Sus scrofa: one gene and its partner. Each later gene encodes a partner of the first gene's protein in a complex. Links are inferred from orthologs where the notes say so. Each region holds a gene or a part of one and is shown on either strand. Other genes may lie near its edges.

Evidence for each region.
Region 2: THOC2 (region 1) and CHTOP share a complex: the UniProt entries of both Homo sapiens proteins name them as parts of the transcription/export (TREX) complex. The link is inferred for Sus scrofa from reciprocal best matches to the Homo sapiens genes THOC2 and CHTOP.

The regions. Positions count from the first base shown.
Region 1 is NC_010461.5:101,190,438-101,194,263, reverse strand, and holds part of THOC2 (THO complex subunit 2), read left to right. Parts: intron 1-125; coding exon 126-283; intron 284-1,217; coding exon 1,218-1,346; intron 1,347-1,714; coding exon 1,715-1,846; intron 1,847-1,934; coding exon 1,935-2,119; intron 2,120-2,621; coding exon 2,622-2,800; intron 2,801-3,039; coding exon 3,040-3,142; intron 3,143-3,795; coding exon 3,796-3,826. UniProt on the Homo sapiens protein: Component of the THO subcomplex of the TREX complex which is thought to couple mRNA transcription, processing and nuclear export, and which specifically associates with spliced mRNA and not with unspliced pre-mRNA.
Region 2 is NC_010446.5:95,996,075-95,999,516, reverse strand, and holds the end of CHTOP (chromatin target of PRMT1 protein), read left to right. Parts: intron 1-410; coding exon 411-548; intron 549-2,227; coding exon 2,228-2,433; 3' UTR 2,434-2,633; downstream 2,634-3,442. UniProt on the Homo sapiens protein: Plays an important role in the ligand-dependent activation of estrogen receptor target genes. May play a role in the silencing of fetal globin genes.

The DNA of each region.
Region 1 (3,826 bases):
TACAAACTATAAATAGTTTGGTTTTATAGCATTCTCTACACTAAAGTTTATGTTGTCATGTTTAGTGACCTTGAGGCACTTGAGGAAGAAGTTTACCACTTAATATATTCTTCCCTTATTTTTAGAATCTACCAAAAATGAGACCATCACAAAATTTCTACAGCTGTGTATATTTCCTCGATGTATTTTTTCAGCAATTGATGCTGTTTACTGTGCTCGTTTTGTTGAATTGGTACATCAACAGAAAACTCCAAATTTTTCCACACTTCTTTGCTATGATCGAGTAAGTTCTTTTTTTTGCAACCTTTAAAAACAAAGTCTCACACAAAGATAGCTAAAGATTTTAGTCTATAGAGGTATTATTGTGTGTGTGGTTAAAAGCATGAACTCGAGAGCCAAGTGCCTGAACTTGAATCCTAACTCTGCTACTTTCTAGCTATATGATCTTTGGCAAGTTTTTTTTAACCTCTCTGTGCCTCAGTTTTCTATCTGTAAAATGGGATAATAGTATCTGCTTCATAAGATTGTTGTGAGGATTACGTGAGTCAATACACATAAAAGCACTTTGAATAGTGCCTGATACATAATAAGCACCCCTAGTTAATCTGTTAACTCAGCATTCTGGTTTATATGTTTGTCATAATAGGCAGAACTCTTTTCCATTCTTAACTTTCACCCCCTCAAAAAAACAACGAAAAACCCTTAACACTTTTGCACATATATAAAAGCAGGGATGCTTTTCAAGATGGCCACATTGACAGATTTTTATATCTGGCTTTTTTTCTTAATAATAAATTACTGCATTTGTGGTTTAAAAGTGTCATATATGTTACAGCCTGTCAGCTGCCTATTTCTAGTTTCTGTCATCTTCGCCTCTGCTTACTATCACCTTAACCCCAGTAATATTTATGGCTAAGTCTTTCTTAAAAGAAGTTATAATGTAATAATCATGATAGTTTTTTCTTCTGTCATTGTAGATGAGCTTTCTTTTTTTTTATAAAAGTGCTTTTTTTTTGTTATTGTTGCTTTATGAATGGACTATTTCCTCACAAAAGCCAAACATTTTAAAGGTCTCTGGAATTGTGAATATAAAAGGGGAAGATGTGCTTTGACTAAACTTACCTGTTTATTATGATTTGCTGTTGCATAATCTTTTAATATTTTGAACTAATTTTGACCTTGATTTGTTTTTATTTTTCACACATTGTTTTCTGTAGGTTTTCTCTGATATAATTTACACAGTTGCAAGCTGTACTGAAAATGAAGCTAGTCGATATGGGAGATTCCTATGCTGCATGTTAGAGACTGTGACCAGGTGGCACAGTGATAGAGCCACATATGAAAAGGTATGACTAACAAATAGTCTTATATTTTACCCATCTATACAATGACCACTTCCGGTAATCTTTGGGTTGTTCAGTTTTAAAAGGGAAGCTGAGTTTAAGGCTCAATTATAAAACAGTGTTTAAAATTTAAGCATAATTCATTCGTTATTTTTAAAATGCTCTATTTTTTTTAAAATCCTGTCTCAAACTGACATTCCAAATTAATACCATCGAGTAAGCTGAATATTTCTGTGAAAACTACCTATCATTCAAATATACATGTTTTCACATGGAATCATTAATGTAGTCTACTTAGGTTTCAGCTTTTGCTATTTTGGAGGACAGAATTTTTCTTTAAAAGTGACAGACTTTTTTTTTTCCCCCTGTAGGAATGTGGGAATTATCCAGGATTTCTTACTATATTACGGGCAACTGGATTTGATGGTGGAAATAAAGCTGATCAGTTAGATTATGAAAATTTTCGACATGTTGTACATAAATGGCATTACAAACTAACCAAGGTAAGAAAAAAATTGTATTTCTTAAAGGTGTTTTTTTCTCTTCATAATTATCCTTTTATAGTAACAGATCTTAAAATGTTTGTTGTAGGCATCGGTACATTGCCTTGAAACAGGCGAATATACTCACATCAGGAATATCTTGATTGTGCTAACAAAAATACTTCCTTGGTACCCAAAAGTTTTGAATCTTGGTCAGGCTTTGGAAAGAAGAGTGCATAAAATCTGCCAAGAGGAAAAAGAGAAGAGGCCAGATCTATATGCATTGGCTATGGGGTAACACAAATTATACTTTAATGTGATTTATGAGACTAGATTACAGAAGGATTCTGAAGACTTTAAAATGTTTTACAGTGTTGAAGTTTATCTTCTGCTTTACTTCAGGAGATTATGGGAGATTATGCGATCATGTTCCCACAGGCTGGTGAGAGTTGTCACTTCTGATTATCAGCTTCCGGTCTATACTGGATGATAGTTACAAAAGTCATATAATATGTCTAGATTTGGAGGAAATGTAATTTTATCATCAGTTAGCAGATCTTCAGTAGTGAAAAAAAGGCACTTTAGTTGAAGGATTAGTATACATTGAAATTTTCGTTTTTAAGAAATGATCTAGGGCTCTTAGTAAAGACCTTCAGGAATTTTCTGAAAATTAATACTTTTCATTCTCTGAAACCAAGTAGCAGAGTGAATAACTTGCTAATTTTATTCTTTTAAACCCCATGTTTGTGCTTTTTGATTTGTATTTGTATATTTAAACACTTTGTGCGACTTTCAGCTACTCTGGGCAGTTGAAAAGTAGAAAGTCATACATGATACCTGAAAATGAGTTTCATCACAAAGACCCCCCTCCGAGGAATGCAGTTGCCAGTGTACAAAATGGGCCTGGTGGTGGGCCTTCTTCTTCATCGATAGGAAGTGCATCTAAATCAGACGAAAGCAGTACTGAGGAGACTGGTATGCTTATTTGTAGAAATTTATAAATAATACATTTTATTTCAAAAGTGTTTAAAATATTCTGTATCACATGACAAGTAAAATGCTTGATTAGTAATCCTTTTTAATTCCCTAAGTAGGAGTATATAACTTAAGACATAATCAGCCTTTTCTTGCTTTTGTCTCTAATGATTTTGCTATAAAATTGTAGTTTATTTATATCTAGGGGCTTGTCAAATAAAACCTTACCTTTATTTCAGATAAATCAAGGGAGAGATCTCAGTGTGGTGTGAAAGCTGTTAATAAAGCTTCTAATGCCACACCGAAAGGGAATTCAAGCAATGGAAATAGTGGCTCTAACAGGTAGGAACACTGTGCTGTATGTCAAAATCCTGATTTCTAATGTGATTAGCCTCAGTAGACGTGAATGAAAGAGTGATAGTTGACTACTATGAAAGTCATTTATTTTGGACTTAGAAATTTTGTATATACCACTATTTTGATAATGTGTTTGCCATCCTCATGTTTTTTATAATACTGAGGCTGACTTTATTTCCTTTGTTGGAATATGCAGGGGAGTGAAGTTAAAATTTTTTTTAGTACTGAGTGTTTGCTGTGGAAAGTCTGTGTAAGGATAATTAATATAAGAAAAGCCTATACTGAGTTAGACCAGTGATCCATCCAGCCAAGTAATCCAGTTCCTGATAGTAACACCCTTAGTTGGCTTAAGGGAAAGTTTTTGGTTGTTACTTTGTAATCGAAAGGTTATGAACATATACAAAAAGGTCTGATATCACTCTAATCACTCTTCATAATCTACTCTTTGTGAATGTGGTTATTATTTACTGGATAAGGAAGTGCTTCCTTTTTACTGGTCTTAAAGTTGTCCTTTAGTTTTCAAAGGGCTCCTCTTAGTTCTGGAATTTTGAAGCCAGTAAGAAACTGTTTATGATTTATAATATATTGAATATATTTTATGACCATTTGTCTTAAAATCTGATGTTTTTATTCTTAAGCAGCAAAACTGTTAAAGAAAATGACAAAGAA
Region 2 (3,442 bases), on another chromosome or scaffold:
GACAAGTTGACCCATAGCATTTAGCTATATGTTACTTTTTTGGGCACTGTTACACTGTTCCCTGTATAGTTTTTGTCTCCTACAAAAATGTATTAAGAGCAGGAACCATTTCATTTATTTTTAAATCTACCATAATGCTAGGCACCTGATTATTCAATAGGTATTTATTAAATGTATGTACTTACTAATTGATCTAACTCCCAGCTTCCAAAAATGGATTGTGGTCAGACTTGTTGAATTGATTGAATAAAGAGCAGCTTAATCTGTTGACACTCAGTGTGCAGCTTGCCCCACCCAACCTAAAAATTAATCGAATTAACTCATTTAACCCTCACTGCCTTCCTTTGGTTAGAATCTACTTTGTCTCTCTTGGATTTACCTGCATATACATTGTATGCCTCCTCTCCAAGGTCAAAACCTGCTCCGAGGTGGACGAGCCGTAGCTCCCCGAATGGGCTTAAGAAGAGGTGGTGTTCGAGGTCGTGGAGGTCCTGGGAGAGGGGGCCTAGGGCGTGGAGCTATGGGTCGTGGCGGAATCGGTGGTAGAGGTTAGTCAGCTACCAACTTCAGAGAATAGCACCCCCTTATTTTCTCTCCCTTCAAAACTCAGAGCCACCTTTCTGCACAGCTTCAAGTCATAGGCAGGCTTATTTGTTTGTCTTGTTTGTTTTATGAAACTGGCTTATTTTCTAAATTCACATGCTGGTAGTGTGAAAGTCTGTCATGGGTTTTCCAAGAACAGTCAGGTATGTGTTACAGAGCCAGGTTATAGTCAGTCTTTCAGGCTCTTGCAAATTTAAATTGTATCATTAAAGTGATAAAATTGTCAGTATGGGGTTTCATCTTTTTCTGTCCCTGGCCCCACCACCACACACCCCATCCCACAGCTCGTAACCCCACTTTTGGGCCTAAGATTTAGAGAAGAGAGAGATGTACAGAAACGAATCAGTTAAAGAGGATGGTGAGGCTTGGTGCTAGGTATTGACTCTGAAACCAAGTAAATTTAAGGTAAAGTTGGTGTCTGTGTGAAACCAGAGATGACTTTTTTTTTTTTTTTTTGATCAAGATTAGAAAAGCAAGATGGTATTGTGTCAGTTAACTAACTGACTCTTGTTGATAATCTCATCGTGAGACTTAGTGATACCTGTCACGTGACTTCATGGCCCAGATTGGAAAAGAGATTTTATGGTGTTGCTGTTAATACCAAATCTCCTGGGAATTTTCTGGCTTAAAGTTTTGTGGAAAACTCCCAACAACACCTGTTCAGGAAAAAAAATACATCCTTGTTGCCCCTGTGTATATTTGCTTTGATCTTTTTTAAAGTGTGTGGTGGGTCTTCCATAATTGATGACCTTGAAGCTGCCAGGGGATAATAACTACTGGGAAAGGAAATTTGATAACTGAGGGCTTGTTTTCTTCTCTCGCATTATATGTTGCTTGGCTTATTGAGTGAAGGGCAAACTAGTTTGGGTTTCAGGATGAAATAGCATGTTTCCAAATTATCTTGACTTGGTTTCTGAGAGAGACATCACAGGAATGGGAGTGGGGGAGGCTCTAAAGTAGCTTTTCAGAAAGCTGGGTGTGTTTTGTTAAGTGAATTGAAACCACCTCTCAGATAACCATATTTGTTAAAATGTGGATAGAATTGCAGATAGAAATGGCTGGCACTACTCAGAATGTTTTTCCCTAATCTCCCTTCATTGTTCCCATGTCAGAATAACTCCTCAGTCTCCTGACATGGGATCAGCTCATTAGGTTTGATAAGTTTGAGGAGAGACAAGCTAATTTTTCAGAAGGATGTCCAATAAAGTTTAATTAAAAACTTTACACTCATTTTTCTGTGCCCTTGTTACTTCCTCCCTGTTTTACTACATGGGGTTATCTATAGTGTGTTTGTATTTTAATTATAAACTTACAGTGAGTCTCAAGTTTTAGCTTCTATTTTAGAAGAGATTGAGTCAATTTTAACTTTCAGTTAAATATTTTCCCTCTGTTGATAGAATAAAAATTTTTAAATAGCATTTAGAGAGGAGCATGTAATAAGGGATTCATTATGTGTGCTTTCCATGTGTTGCTTTCTACCCAGTGTGTTTCCTGTTTTTCCAGATTTCTCCTCTTTGCCCTGCCCTTCAGTCTCTCTCAGCTAGGCCCCACTGCTCTGAGGGGCATTTACCATAGCACCTATTAAACCTACTTGTAACTATTTCTTCTTTTTCCCTTGGGCCAGGTCGGGGTATGATAGGCCGGGGAAGAGGGGGCTTTGGAGGCCGAGGCCGTGGACGTGGACGAGGGAGAGGTGCCCTTGCTCGCCCTGTACTGACCAAGGAGCAGCTGGACAACCAATTGGATGCATACATGTCGAAAACTAAAGGACACTTGGATGCTGAGTTGGATGCCTACATGGCACAGACAGATCCTGAAACCAATGATTGAAGCCTGCTCGCCCTCCTGTGAGACTCTTGTTCTAGTCACACATCTGTAAATAACCTTGAGATAACAGATGGGAAGAAACCTGATTGATGCTGGAAGGACCTATCATAATAGGCTGTGGACTGACTTGCCACAAGTTTGTGCATTTAGTGTGTTCCTTTTACTTTTTGATACTGTGTTGTATGAAACACTTTTTTCCTCTGACTTGGGTTTTGTTTTGTTGTATTGTTTGAGGTGGGTTTTGGTTTTTGATTTTTTTTTTTTTTTCCTTTGCCCAGACTTATCTTTGAACACAAATGTGTTGGCCTTATGGCTAGTATACCCTTTTCTCGCCTCTGCCTCCCCCTCACCTGTCACATACTTTGACATTCTAACATTTTTTCTGTTCATCTCTGTGCCCCCATGAAAAAGTCCCAGAAAGAGCCCTTCGGTGTTCCTCCTTAATGTGTAGGTTTATGAGATATAGTTTTGCATCATTTTTAATAGCCTCCTTTAGAGGCTTTTAAAATCTGGAGCTCAAAAATGCATTCTGCCACATTGATGTTTTTAGTATGGTAAATGAGGAACCTTGACATAGCTACAGGGCCACCTAACAGGTTACACCTGGTAGCTCTGATTTGATTATGGGTATCACAGTGTACATTTGCACCACATAAGCAATATGCTGGTTTGGTATGTGCACTTTCTACCCTGGAATGGGACTTAAAAACTTTCCTCTTGGCTTTGCATCATATCCAAGGGGTACTTTGGGGTTGGCTTACGCCTGCAAAAGGACAGAGGAAGGCCATTTGGTTTGGCAGATGCTTCAGAAGGGAAAGGGCTGGAAAATGATGGCAGGTGTCTGGTGGGAAGGATCAGAAAATATCCCTGCTGAGATGCTATTATCCCTGTGTTTATACTGAGACTAGTCTTGGGCTTCTCCATTCATTGGTTTTGTTTGACCCTCATCTTATTCCCCTTGAAGGTTTAGTTAAGTTCAGCCGTATTCTGTCAAGTGTTCCAGTGGAAGCTT